Linked DNA regions of Astyanax mexicanus. The protein of the gene in region 2 interacts with the protein of the main gene of each other region in a pairwise test. Links are inferred from orthologs where the notes say so. Each region holds a gene or a part of one and is shown on either strand. Other genes may lie near its edges. The genes, in order: vamp4 and lmna.

What was found.
Region 1: the proteins of lmna (region 2) and vamp4 interact in a two-hybrid assay, tested with the Homo sapiens proteins (2 studies listed by BioGRID and IntAct, with this or other methods). The link is inferred for Astyanax mexicanus from reciprocal best matches to the Homo sapiens genes LMNA and VAMP4.

What each region holds. Positions count from the first base shown.
Region 1 is NC_064408.1:62,580,703-62,588,764, reverse strand, and holds the start of vamp4 (vesicle-associated membrane protein 4), read right to left. Parts: upstream 3,017-8,062; 5' UTR 2,822-3,016; exon of another isoform or gene 2,796-2,821; intron 188-2,795; exon of another isoform or gene 117-187; 5' UTR 43-116; coding exon 40-42; intron 1-39. UniProt on the Homo sapiens protein: Involved in the pathway that functions to remove an inhibitor (probably synaptotagmin-4) of calcium-triggered exocytosis during the maturation of secretory granules.
Region 2 is NC_064413.1:40,511,523-40,519,207, forward strand, and holds the start of lmna (lamin), read right to left. Parts: upstream 3,100-7,685; 5' UTR 2,991-3,099; intron 1-2,990.

The DNA.
Region 1 (8,062 bases), on a different chromosome or scaffold from region 2:
CCACAGACACAATCCAAATTTAGGATAGGGGTCTGATACCATTGAGTCACTGTCCTCTCTCTGAGACTGCTTTCTGCTTGATGTGCTGGAAAAGTAGTCGGAAAACAGGTTTTCTCCTGGCCACAAGCACGGCGGAACGATCCACAAATCAGCAGAGGAGGAGAAGAGGGGTTAGGGATAAGCAGCTCTAGCAAAAAAAAAAAAAGAGAGAGAGGAAAAAGGAAACAGAAAAAGGGGGAAAGACGGTTGGGATAAAGATAACGGGAAATATGAGAGAGACAGATAAAAAGAAAGCAGCAGGCAAGAATCCACAATGACCATAAACGTATGTAAAATTCATTTCAGTTGCCAGATCTGTCAAACAAGGGTGCCATTATAATTTTCCAATAGAATGAACGGAGAAAAAAACATTATTGGCATAAAATAGTAAACTGATGTACAAAACATGAATTGGTCATGTGGATTGGACATAAAATGTAAGTGGGACAGACAAACAGACGATGCAGAACCTTCTAAAGGGCAATCAGATAAACTCTGCTGACCCCCGCACTGCACACAGTAATCAGTTCACCCAACACTGAAAGCACTGCATTTGCAAATAACACTGAAATGGTGACACCAGTAGGGGTTCATCAATTGACACTATATGGACAAAAGTAATGGGACACCTGTTCATTAATTTTGTGCCTCCCTCAGGGTTTTTCAAAAAACAAAAAAAAGAACCACTGCTTTATTCTGGAGGCTATGTTTCCTTCTAGCCCACTCATGGTATTAGATATGGTGCCATTATGCCATTCATGTTTGTCTGCTGTAGAGATTTTTATTTTATTGGCAATACATTTTGCATGACAGAGACAACTTGTGTGTGTGTGTGTGTGTGTGTGTGTGTGTGTGTGTGTGTGTGTGTGTGTGTGTGTGTGTGTGTGTGTGTGTGTGTCCACAAACATTTGGACATATAGTGTACATATATCCAGGCCATAGTTGCATCATCTGTAAACGGTTTAGGCTGTAAATGTGCAATTATAAATGACATGAAACATCAATTATAACATTTAACTTGTAATATAAATCATAACATTCTTTTTTGTCTCTTTTCTTTACGAAAATGGCACACAATACAGTACTAGACTGCTTAGGTACAATGTAAGGTGAATATTTTTATGATACATAATATAGAATAGCAGTGAATTCTATATGCCTATAAATTGTTACTCCTTTAGACATATCCACATAACCAGTAACACAAAGACTTGGCTTGGGCAGTAGTTGTGTGCCACATCATATCGTATGCAATAATATCGCCAACATTTTTAAATATTGTGAACGATACTATACCCTGAAATATCGAGCCATCACCCACCCCTATTTATCACATCAGGGGACTACTTTCTTTGCTGTTTTTAGCAAAAGAAAAATTCACACTCTTCTCATTTACTATTATATCTCCCGACAGATTATATCTGTCCAGTATCATTTATTTTACTTTAATCCTTGAAATATTTTTTGTCAATCTTGTCATATCAACAAAAGTATTATCGCAAAAATACCATGAAATATTGTGATATTATTTTAGGGCCTTATTGCCCACCCCTTTTTGGGCCACAGTCATCTCATCAATCACAAAACCAAATCAGTACTAAACTCCAAAGAGGGTTTATTTTTGTTTGTCTGTTTTTATCAGACAGGGGATAGCATCAAGCAAGTGAAGCAAGTAAATATCTGCCTGATAAACACATCTGCATGAACTAGTCAGAACCAGAAGCATCCCCACAAGAGAGAATGGAGCTGAGAGCTGAGAATGTGTGCCATGACCCCCTTTACATTTCTAGAACTGCTAATCTAATCAGCCACTGAGTCATATGACTGAATAGGGAAACGACAACTAAGATGATGATGATGATTCAACCGGTCAGCTAAATAACCTGTTTTAAACGCAGCTTTCTGCATAAATACATCTGTCAGAGAATAAAACACAGAGATTTCAGTTAACGTTACATTAACATTAGGTTAGCTAGGGTTAGGTAGTTAAGCTCTCTCAGTATTTCTTCTCGAGCCTGGTCCTGGAGGTTCACTGTCCTGCACTGTTTAGCTAACAGTTACTGTTTTCCCTGCTACCAAAACACCTGATACAGATCATTAGCTTCTTAACATTTCATTATTGAGTTAAAGAATGTGGATTAAAGAAAGGAACTTACTAGACTAGGCCTTATGAACCAGGGTTGAGAAACACTGAGCTACGATAGCTAAGCTATTATCACACAATGTAACTGTTAGGTGCCAGTTAACTAACGTTAGCTAATCTAGCTAATGAGCTAAACCTAAGCAGAAACGCCGACTTTTACAAGACAAATGTAAAAAAAAAAAACTAAGACATGACAGCACCACGTCATATTTACACAGGACATTTCCATCTAAATTATCAGAAATAAATATTATCTAGCAGCACGAAGCTGCTACTGTTGTTAATATTAGCTTCCGAAGCCTCCTAGCTAACTAGCTTAGTTTAGCTTAGCCTAGCTAACGCTAGCTAAATGATTCTGCTAGCTGGTTAGCTGTGTGGCTAGCTGAGCCGGTCAGACTGTCTGGTTTAGACTAGCTAAACCAGTTAGCTAAACTGGATAAGTTACGTTAGATAGACAGTTATTTAGCTAGCGGGTTGTTAGTTAATAGCGTAACCGAGACAAGTAGCTAGCTAGCTTAGCTACACTAAAATATCAGGAGAACATCATGCAGTGATGAGACAGTGACACAGGCACTGCTGTCTTCTACACAGAGACACACAGGCCTCCACACACCTCAACAGACACAGATCCTCTTCTACCTGGGCTGTGCTGGTCCTGTGGGGTGCAGTGCTCTTCTGTACTGCAGCCACGACTCACACCACTGAGGATCTAAGGATCCTGGAAGTGGTCTGTGTGTGTGTCAGTGGAAGAGAAGAGAAGAGCCTCTCGGCAGCAGGGCTGTGAGGATGTGTATGTGTATATTGCAGTGATGTTCTCTTCTCTTCCGCTCCACCTCTGATGACCAGGAAGTCAAACAGCTGGGCTGTGATTTGGTTCACAATGCTGTAGTTATACATCAGGATTTTTGTGGTCTTTTAAAAAGAGTTAAAATATTATATTAAACTCCCCTCTGTAACAGCCCTCTGTAAAACAGTACAACTATTACAACTGTTAAATCATTATATTTATGTATACCCCCCAACAATATGTATGCATTGTGTACACTCAAGAGAATATGTTTATCATTTTTATATGAAATTTTATTTGATGTGTATTATGTTTTGTTTTCATTGATTGAAAAAAAAAACAATTTCCTCTTTCATACTGGAAATAAGGGTTAGATATTAGCACACATAAATATGTATACTCAAATTACAAGCAGAGGTGTCAAGTAATGAAGTACAACTTTTCACTTCTAATCCTTACTTTTTTAACAATTATCTGTAATTTCTACTTTTTTACATTTTTAAAAAAACCTTGTTTTAGTTTGTTTTCATTCTGTAAAAAACGAACCAGATAAATCTCCAGATAAATGTGATTATGAGTGATTATGATTGTGGTTGGTTAAGAAGTATAAACACATACCATTTCGACATCCTATTGGTCTATTCACAATCCACCTCACCTGCACACATCACGCCCAGACTCCAGCAAGAATCTAGCAGACTTGTGTAGCCTAGTATGATTCTTTAATATATTTATATTGTACCAAATTCATTCATTGAAATGGGCCTTTATGTGGCTGAAACAGGCAGCCTAGTGCATCCCCAAAGTTTCAACGTTAACATTTTAATGTAACATTACAGCCATTATGGCTTTAAAAAATTTGGGGGTACTATACTATAGGCTCCTGTGGCACATCCTCAGCTTTTGTCCTTAATGGCATTTTCCCCCGTAAATTATTTTTAAATAGTTTTGAAACCAGTACTTTTAAACTTTTACAAGAGTAAAAAGCTTGAGTTGATACTTTAACTTCTACAGAATTATTTTTAAACCCTAGTATCTATACTTCTACCAGAGTAATGCATGTGAATACCGGTGACACCGTTAATTACAAGGGATGGTTTGGTACTTGTGCTCTAACTAGAACACACAGACTTAATTGTTTGTAAAATAGACAGTTTACATAACTGTATTTAACCATTACAGGTTAGCATTCTACTAATTAGTACTGTATAATCAGCTGCTTTAAAGGGCTAAACATGTCAATTTCCAATTTTCAATCGTCCCAATGTGCGGCCTACATATTTGTAGGGCACTACTTTTGGGTTACACTATTTTGTAGTGGTGTATAAAATATTGTTATTATGTGTGTGATAAGGGCAGTGTTATGCAACAATCTGAACAATCTAGTGTTTCTTGGAAAGTCTGCAATGCACTCTTTAACCCAAGATTTGATTATTTATTATTAATTCATAATTACGGGTATTCCATGTCTGGTTCTGTACACTATATATCACAGTGCATTGTAAGATTGGTACAGTTAAAAACTTTGTTTTCAAACACCAGTACAAAATGGCAGAATCCCAAATTAGTGTACTATATAACAAATACAATTTAGAAACAGCTTATGGTTACATGATGCAATTCCTTCATATTTTTGTACGGACACCTTAATGTTTTCATGGGTTCCAGACACTGTTATAAAAATCACAATTAAAAAACTGTATATGGGCAGTATATTTGACAGTTGCTTTATACACTACCTGGTCAAATAAAGGTCACACACTATAAATACCACTTTTAGCTTTGACTATGGCATGCATTCACTGTGGCATCGTTTCCAAAAGCTTCTGAATCGTTACAAAAGTTATTTCAATGGAGTTCAAGCAGCCCGATCCATGTGTGAAAAGAATGTCTCTCGCTCACTGAACCCTGCACTCACTTTCACAATTTCACAAATGAATCAGGAGTCAGTATCAGGGATTCTGGGATGCCAGGAGAACTTAGGAGTTTGGCAGATGCCAGGAGAACAATACTTACCAGACTGCCTAGAGCCAACCAGAGTTTAGTGTACCAGGGATACTATTAATGGTCTTGGGGCTGCTGTTTTCCCTCTTAATTGCAGTGAAAGGTAATGTTTCACACATTTGTTTTTGTTTGTTTCCAATTTTCTACCTTCATATCGATCGCCCATAATTATTGAAATGGATGTCAAACAAGCTCATAAGGATGAAATACTTTAAATACAAAGAAAAAAAAGACAAATTGTTGTTTGTACCATTATATGTGTATCATATCTGTTCTTAGTGAAAAAAAAAATCTTATTAAATCATTTCATGAATACTATTAAAAAGCAATTCCGAGGTGCTGGACTAGGGCGCTGTCACTATGATTAGAGGATTGTCTGTTCAAATCTCAGATCATATCTTATGACATTAGGACACAAAGTGTCTTACTCTTCCAGGGTTTATGGTGTTTCCTCCTCAGATCTCATAGTGTAATGTTGGTCAGCACAGGTGTGTGTTAGCTGATGTATCAGAACTCGGGAACAGATAAGAACGCTGGTCTTATCTGGCTATCTAGTGATGCTGTATCAGCACCATTTTGAAACGAGGCGGTGAGTAACTTCATGAATCAGAGGAGGCATGTGCCTCTCTTAGTGTTGAGGGCATTACTGGTGATAGGTAGAGTTCATATTACCAGGGATAAGGTAATTGGCATTCCAAATTTGATAGAAAAATTGGAACATTTAGAAACAAAAAATAAATAAATAAATTTATTTCCACAAACATTTTTATTATCTATTATCTATGTTGAATAGTAACAAATACCACTGTTAAGATTCCAATTAATAAGTTGCAACATTTTGTAAAATTAAATCTGGTAAATCAATTGCTTCATTTTCTCAGTGGATGTCACGGGGGCAAAAGTTCTTCACCTTGTTACCTTGAACTACATATTTGTGATATACGAGCAGAACTTGGCTGGGACCATAGAAGAGCATCGCAGAGATAAAAATTCTCAAAGCAAACAGAAAAAAAGCCTTTAAAAAGATTTACACACATGAAACCACGTGAAATCAGAAACAAATAAACAAGAGAAACATAATGCAGCGGCTCTTCGGAGAAATAGTTTAGCGAGCGAGTCTGGAATATTTTCCACACACTGATGAGGATGATTGCTAAAGCAGAAAGCTCCTCCTGGGAGTGGGAAGTGCTTGGCTGAGTGAAAAGATGAGATTGTGTGTCCTCGAGAAAGCACTTGACGAAGCTCTGGAAAAGTTCAGTTTTATCACATGAAGATTAGTAATCATTTTTTAATAGTTTTTATCCTCTGTTGTGGTTTGTAGTAAATGTTTATGCTGTATGTAAGGATACTGCATATACACACATATACAGGTGTGTAGATGTTCCCATATGCATGTGTACAGCAGTGCTAAAGCTGTCAAAAATATGTTCTTTGCATAGCTGCCTTGGTCCATTTTGGTTGTTAACTTCAAAGTCTTGTTGAGAAGGGAAGATGGATGGACAAAGCTAGAAGAGTATAAATTACGGTGACCTTCAGCGTATACAGGATGAAGTGAGTTCCAGTCTTGTCAGTTGTGTCACCTGCTCAATCCTGGGAGACTACACTGAGAGAGATGCAAATAATGGAAAGACCTTTCTGTCTTCCTCTAAAATTCTCTACATTGACTCTAACTATGCATTAGAATGAATTGCACAGCTATGTTGTGCCTCGTATTGACTGATGAGGTATTCTGAAGATTCTGAACCCCTTCAGAGAAGTATTTGGCAAATCATGTCATGACAATGAGTTTTTAGGTATGAGTAAAAATAACACGTGTAGAACGTGTAGAGTCTTGAATATTTCCTCAGGTTACTCCTTCTTAATCTATTACTCTATTGCTTACTTAATAATTGTACAAGACCTTAATTTCTCACAGATTTCAGGTGTATTTGTAATACGTTTTGAGAGAACAGTAATTCATTTAGAACCCAGTCATTTACAACATATATAATAAAGCCTCTTCAAAGCATTGGTGCATTGGACGAACAGATACACACTCTGATCCAATAATAGTTGGACAGCTACATGTTTCTTTTGCACTGTTGACTCTGAAAACCACCTTTATGGGTTTACAAATTTAACTGTTAAGCTGTCATGGTGTGATTGAAAGTTAGAATTTTAGCATTAATTAAGATTCAAAAATGAATTAAACATACTCAAACTCGAACATACTTTACAATGTTAGAATTAAATATTTATGCTTAACTATTTATTGCTTAAAATAATGTTATATGCAGGATTTTTTATACATGGATGCAGAAAATGTGCAGTAATCCTACACAAAGTCAGGATCCCATGATATCAGCAAATGCTGAGAATCTTTTCTTGAGATGTTTTGTTCAGCGTTCACTACAGTCTCTTTTAGCATTTGCTTGTTTGTGTGTCTTGACCAGCATGCTCAGTCAAGTGACTGGATCAGCCATTGTGTTTCTTTGCTTTAGATCTGTTGCAGCTGCTTTTGCAATATGTTTTGGGTCATTATTCATTTACTATTTGAACTCGTTTACGTTTACTGGATGATTCCTTATGTGTTCCTTCATACTTTGGATGACTTCAGTATTTGTTTACAATGCAGGGAAATAATAAAACATTGAATGAGAAGGGGTGTTGAAACTTTTGACTGGTACAGTTTATATTTTTCTATTTGGTCTTAAAGATTCCACTGCCTCTCTATACATTCAGAAATCATAGTCTCCTGTTCACCTGTTAATGGTCTAATTACTCACTAATTAATCACTGTAAAAATCTCTGTAATTTCTAAATATTGTTTATCAAAATTTTAGAAACTTAATAAAATAAAAAATATGGAATGTATTGCATAAGTTGAATGGTGTTGAATTGTCCTTCCTTTCTGATGGTATAAGCAGACCTCCCAAGGCTTTGAGCACTTTGAGCTGAAGGATGGTGAAGGTCTGAGGTTAGGAATTTGTAGACTTCTCTATGGCTGGGTGTTTTCTTTGGAGGCAGAGGAGGGTTAGGATAGTTGGTGTTATAGGGGAGTGTGGGGTAGCTGGTGGTGAGAGGTGGGGAGTGCATTTCAGGGTTATAAA
Region 2 (7,685 bases):
CATCTTATAATGCTCTGAGATTTCTTACATCCAAGTTTTATCCAAGTCATGCTGTGGTAAATTACCCAACAACAATGAGTTTTGTTAAAAGAGTATGTGAAAATGCCCCCTCAACTGCCCTATAAAAAGGTTCCAAGAGGGTATTTTTGGGCAGTGTACCTCTTGGCGAGAGATAATTGGCTGCTAGATAATGGACTTCTTGCAGCCACTTATGCTACTGATGGCAGGGCCTTCAATTGGGATTTTCAAGAAGATAATGTTTGACCACATACAACCAGCGTTTCCCAGGAATACCTTTAAAAGATTGTAACACTTCCTTTGCCTGCCTGGCCATCAGATTTTGGAATTCATAAGACCAGCTGTGATGTTTGCTTCAATAAAAATGTGCAGGATCTACAGGCCCAGCTGCAACATATGCTGACAAATATGCCACAGTATGACATATGGAAAGTGTATGCCTCCATGCCCGAGTTTTTACTGAGCTTACTTGTACATCCTTTCCCAAAAATGTATAATGAAAGCTTTAAAAGGCCATACATGCTTTTACATGCTATTTTAGGTCAATTCAATCTGATATCTTCATGAATAATCAAAAAAATCTGCAGGCAAAAAAAAAAAAGAAAAAGATAAAAATAATAATGATGATGATGATGATGATGATGAAGATGATGATAATGATGATGACAGGCCTAGGCCGGCAGTGGGCAGTCCTAGTCTGGCAGTGGGCTACAGTCGGCCCTCTAATGTTAGGGAGTGTCTTCCCGGCAGGGCTGACTCATTGGAAAAGTATCATCAGAACACAAGCCCTCTGAGAACCATGCCTACCAGCAGCACAAACACACACACAAACGTCTCTGTTCTCCAGCAGTCACAGGACGGCTTTTCCTCCAGCCTCCCAGCACCCACTACATTCCTCTCTACAATGAGGACGATTCCCCTGAGGAAATCCTTCCCAAACCACTGCCTGCATAGTGTATTCTGGATGTGAGCTAGTAAGCAGCAAAACTTTCCTAAATATAACACATGCAACTGCCTAGATTTTACATTTATAACATAACTAACATAAGAGCTCAGATTTAAAACTAAAAATATCCAATGCTACAAGACCTAACAGGCATCATCATCATAATAATACAGTACAGTATAGTACAGTATAGGGCTGTAAGATTAATGATATTTTTTATGATTATTGCAGTACAAGTTTAAATTGTAATTTTATCACTTCATCCACAAGGTCATTCAACCCGTCCATGAGAGAGCAAGACAAATTGTTGTCTCATGGACTGCTAATTTCAAGCAGCGTGATAAAGGATTCAAACAGGTGATCCTCAGAAAAAACTTTGAGGAGCTTCAACAAATTTAGGATCTTAATTTGTCATGTTTCGACATTAATATCAGGTTATCCAGCAGCATTATAGTACATCACATTTCTGTAAGTACAGTCTTTTGCAAATTATGATGTAGAATCATTGCAATTACAGGAGCAGCCTGGAGGCTTTATCATCCCCATCTAAAACAACATAATTCAGTGCAGTAAAACACTGGATTTCAGTAGAAATACAACAAACATTGGATCTGTCTTCTTGTTATTTAAAAAAACATACATTTTTTTATATACACATTGTTTTGGTGTTATAAACAATATTGTAATTATGGTTTTTATCATATGATTTTGCATCATATAAGCTCTATTTGTCTAAAGCATTTTCTAAAAATGCACTCCTTATATCCATTATAGTTAAATAAAGTAAAATAAATTATACTGGACAGATATAATCTGTCTCTAGTAGATATATAATGGGACATGAGTAGTGTGAATTTTAAATTAGCTACAAACAGCAAAAAAAAGTTGTACCCTGATGACTTATACGACCATAAAATAAGATTACACTATTTCTGGATGCACTTTGGCAAGATTATTGCATATGGTACAATATGGCACACCACTAGTGCTGGATTACAACTTTTTTTTGCATTATCTCAATAAAACAACATAATTCAGTGCAGTTATAAGAATAAGAATAAGTCCTATGGTAAGTACTGAGTCTTGTGTTTATTATTTTAAAAATGTTACTTTTTAACTTACACAGACAGATGTTTACTAACTGAATATATAGCAAGATTTATTATTAAAAATGAAGGCTGATTTTTTTTTTTACATTACACGTTTTAGCAGATTTATCAGATAAATTATACCATATCGTACATTGCCATTGACATTTACTATCTAAAAGCATATCGAGATATGAGATTTTTTTTTATCATATTGCCCAGCCCTACTTCTTAACAGTTTCATAAATTAGCCCTAACCTACACAACACAGGTAAACACAGGTAAACACAGAGCAGCACAGAGACTCAGATTTACACACAGATTTGTACAAATGATTAGAGAATGAGTGAGGAGAGAAGGATGGACAATGCGAGTCTGGTTATATGGTTTATATATAAAGTTATATATAAAAGCAGTGTGTAAGACTGGTGGAGGAGAACATGCCAAGATGCATGAAATCTGAGATTAAAAAACAGAATATTTTTCACCAAATATTGATTTCTGAACTCTTAAAACTTTATAAATATGAAATGTCTTCTTTGCATTGTTTGAGGTCTGAAATCTCTGCATCTTTTTTGTTATTTCGGCTATTTCTCATGTTCTGCAATGCAATGCAAATGCTCTAAATGACAATATTTTTATTTGGAATTTGGGAGAAATGTTGTCCGTAGTTTATAGAAGCAAACAACAATGTTTATGTTGCTCAATCATATACCTATAAATAGAAAAGAAGGTGGTCTGTATATATGCTGTATATATGCTATTTCTCGGGAAGGGCGAGCTCACAGTTTTGTTGCAATAGCAAACGGCTGAGTCACGGACTGACTACACAAACATTTACACCAAAGAACTGCAGCGTTTCTGGAGGAACACAGCCTGAAACACAAAGGAGTTAACCCTTCATTAGAGAGTAGGAATGAGAGAAAGCAGTGACTCACGGGTTCTGTGTCTCTAAACGCTGAAAACTCTGACAGCGAGGAATCTGCTGCCTGCCTCATGCCTCTCTCTCCACAGCCCCTCCGTCTGACTGACTGACAGAGCCGGCAGCGCCCCGCAGCGGATCATTACAACAACTGCAGCTGAACAGAGCTGAGCTTAATATTAAGATTAAATGACAAATATGTATATGTATGCCTTAGGGGTGGGCGATATGGCTCTAAAATGATATTTTTGCGATAACGATATAGGAAAACTAAAATATGAGGAATATATAATAATATATAATATAATAGGAATATAGTATAATAGTATAACAGTATAATCATAATGTGGCAAAATAAATAATATAGCATAAAATAATATAATGCAGCAAATCATATTGCAGAATATTTAGTGCATGCATATAAACTGCAAACTAAAACAATTATACAATAAATACACCTAAAGCTTCACAGTAAATAATAGACTACTTTTAAGACAGAAGATCTCTATTATCACGATATGGATTTTTAATATCATGATATTTCTGTGTCACGATATATTGTATACGATATAATATTGCCCACCCCTATTATGCCTTACACCTAACGATTTTCAAACGATTTTTCAGTCGCAGACAAATTTCCAGAGTCGGAATAAAATCACGAGAGTCTGGCTAGAGTCGAGCTGCAGTCGAGTCGTGGTCGAGTCATCTCGACCGTTCAGTGTAAAAGGTGGTTACAACTAAAAGTTATAGTCAGTCGAGTTCGCGTCCCAGCGCTCCGATAAAGTCAACCGTATTTTATATTTTATATTTATTTTTTAACCGTGTTTAATATTACCGCAAGTCTTGAGACTCGGCTCGCGCAAATAGTGACGTGAACAATGTCAACAACCAATAGGAGAGCTACGGGAAGAGGCAAGAAATTATGTCACGTGACTGTTTAGAAACCAGTTAAAAAAGAACACATTTTGCAGTTAATAAGTCTTATATGGTTCCTACTTTAATATATACATTATTTTAAACACAGGTATCATTTCAAAGTAATAATATTAAAGATTTTTTTTATTTTGCACCAGTTTGTCTTATTGTGCAGTGTTATTTTCAATACAACCAAGTTTAATAAATACACGTTTTGCAAGAATTAATTTTTTCACATTTAAGCTGAGTGCGGAGTCTAAAATCTAAAATCGGGGAGTTAAGATACCTATTAAGGAAACATGCTAAGTTTCTCTTGACATCAGTACTTCAACCAGAATGTTTCTTTCATTATCTATTAATAAAACTAATTAGTAAAAAAAAAAAAAACACTATTCCACAGCAGTACAATCAAATGAATACTGCAGTAATTTAACCTCCACATTTACCCAATGAACACTCAGGAGTAAAGCATAATATATTTAAAACATATTTTGGATATTTTGCCAAAACTATTACAATTATACATCTTAACTCAAAGTAACTTAAAGACTAATATGTCATATTATGGAATAAAAGTAATATAATAATAGATAAGTCAAACTGCTATAATAAAAAAGTAGAATGCACTAATTGTGGGTTCTGTACCAATATCTTAATCAGCCGAAGTGTGGAGCTGATACATACTTATGTTTTTAAAACGTAAAGAATTAAAATGTTTTCATAAAAAAAAAAATTACACATTGATGTAGGTGGCGAGTTATGCATAATGCTGTGTCATATTCATGTTAAATCCGCATTATTTACTTTATCACTTTAATAAACCACATTATTATTTTAATATCAGTGACAACTCTATATCATTTAAAAGAACTTCATGTTAGCATGTCATTCTTAACAGGGTGACTCAAGGTGCTAATAACCATTTCTATCTGTGAGTAGAGCTCCAGATCAAGAAATACCAATTATTGCATAATGTTGCTTTAAGTACAATAAAAAAGTATATTCTCTAGGTCGTCCTCAGACGAGCCTTCCATCGTTTCTTCCAGTCATCCCGATTCCCCATACATCTTTTCAATTCACTGGTACTCTGGGCTTCTGCGTCCTTCTTGAGTACGTCCACATAGGTTAGTGTGGGACGTCCTCTTGAGCGGCTCCCATGTGTCGGTTCCCATAGCACCAGTTTGCTGGCTGGCAATTCCTGGTGCCTATGGCAGTGTCCTGCAAGTCTCATTCGCCTTACCGCAATTTTCTCGCTCACTCTTGGTATTTCCTCGTACAGGGTTTGGTTGGTTACATGTGCATCATTGCAGATGTTAAGTACTGCACGCAGCATCCTGGTGTAACACCCATCAAGGGACTTCTCCAGAGTTGGCTTAAGTGTCCAGCATTCGCTGCCATAGAGGAGAACAGACTCTACTGTTGCATAGAAGAAGCACAGTTTTATTTGACGAGGGAGACTGGAGTTCCATACACTGGCCATACCGTTCAGAGCCCTCCATGCAAGTGCCTTCCTTAATTTTAGGTCTTGCTCAGTTGAATTGACCCATGAGCCCAGGTACTTGAAGTCATCAACTTCATTCAGCACAGTGCCTCCTGCTGTAATCAGGGGCAGATGTTCAGGCGGGATGTTGTAGGTAATGACCTCAGTTTTCTTCGCGTTTAACCTGAGGCCAACCTTAGCGCACTCTAGTTCTACTCTGCTCAGTAGAATTTGTGCTTGCTCCACGTTGTCAGAGAGCAAACTGATGTCATCCGCAAAATCAAGGTCTGTGAGGACCACTGCGGGGTATCGACTTGACTTCCTTGGAGATAGTGTGAAGCCAAGTTCCTGTTCCCTCCCATTAATTGCCTTCCTGAGCGCATAATCGAGTACTATGATGAAGAGGAAGGGGGCCAATGTGTCCCCCTGCATAACTCCAGCCAGGATGTCAAATTCCTCGCTGTTGCCGTCTGGGGTCACCACCTTGGCCCTTGTTCCTGCATACATGGACTCTATTGCTCGGAGTAGATTTGGGGGAATACTGTATGCCTTGAGGATCTTCACCATCATGCCTCGGTGTATTGAGTCAAATGCCTTTTTGAAGTCCATAAAGCATAGTACTGCTGTCAGGTTGTTCTTTTTCACCTCCTCAATCATTCTCCTTAGTGCCAGGATCTGGGATGTAGTGGTGCGTCTCTCTCGAAACCCGTTCTGGTTCTTCCTCAGAAGAGGGTCAATTGCCTGCCGGACCCTGTTTAGGATCATACGGTTGTAAACTTTTGCAATAGTGCATGTCAGGCTGATGCCCCGATAGTTGTCCGGCTTCGATAGGTCTCCAGACTTAGGCACTGGCACGATGTTTGATAAAGACCACGTATCAGGCAGCCGATTGTGCAGCAGGGCAAGGTTGCAAAACTCTAAAATGATGTCATCCATGTCGCAGTTCCTCAGCACCTCTGGGGGTATACCATCCGGACCAGCACTCTTTCCTGCTTTTACGGTGGTTTTTGCCCTGGCAAGCTCTCCGAGTGTGAAGGGGCCGTCATTGATGTTAAGGTTTGGGAGGACTGATTGTACTTCTTCCTCAGTTGCTTCTGATGGTTCTCTTTTTTTATTCTAGCAATTTGACATTTATTATTATATTAATTTTATTATATAATAGGATGTAATTACAAAATACATGTTAAAGTACATTTTAGTACACTGAACTATTATTGACTATTATTATTGGAAAAAAAGGTGATTGTTTACAGAAAAGTTAAATATTAAATATTAATAACATTTATATTCAGACATTTCATATAGTTAGTGAATTCAGCTACTTTAATGCCAAGTGACAGCCAAACCAGTATAAAACCCTGTGGAACTGGGCTGTGGAAAAGTACAACTACATTCTTTGAAACAAATAACTTCATCTAATACCTTTGGGATGAGGTGGAGTAGTGTTTCTAATCATCTAAAATTAGAAACAAACTGTGTGACCTGTTTAATGCTCTTGCTGCTGCACTTAAATCCACACAGCAATGTTCCTACATCTACTGTATAGTCTTTCCAGAAGACTAGAGGCTTTTACTTCAGTAAAAGAAGCACAGCTTCCTATAAATAGCCTTGATTTCAGAGAAAACACTGGACAAGCAGTCCAAAAAGGGTATACATCAGGGAGTAGCATGCAAGCCCAGAGTGTACAATATGAGAATCACTGGACGTAGTGTGGAAAAACCCTCTCTAAAGCTTTGTTGGTGTAATTTAATCTATATCAGTATAAGATAAACAATATAAGTGCTTCTCCAGCACCTGTGGAGACTCTTTCCTACAATCTAAAGCCACTTTGTCAAACACTGTCCTGCTGAATTGTATCGTGAACAGCTGAGAACAACAGAGCAGCTCTGTTTAAACATCCTTCCACCTGCTCCATAGAAAATGAAGTGTATAATAACGACAGGTAACACAAGAGAAAGGCTGATAAACACACAATGTTTCATTTGCAGTGACAGGCGCTGGAATTATGTAACCAACCCTTTGACAAATAATTATATATACCATAGATTTCAGATTGTGCACCACACTATAATCCATTCAACGTTAGTGGAACAAAATTACAGATACAAATTTAGCAACAGCTTTCATGTGTGTGTGTGAAGTGCCTTCAATTCACCTGTGAACAATGGACAGGAAAGTCACTGCACAAACAGAGAGAGTGAGTCACACGTGAGCAACTAATTCACGTGCCCTTTCAAGGACTGTTTTAGTAAATGAGTAATGGGCAGTAAGAGACAGGCAAGGGAGAATATGGTAGTAAGGAGGTGAATGGAG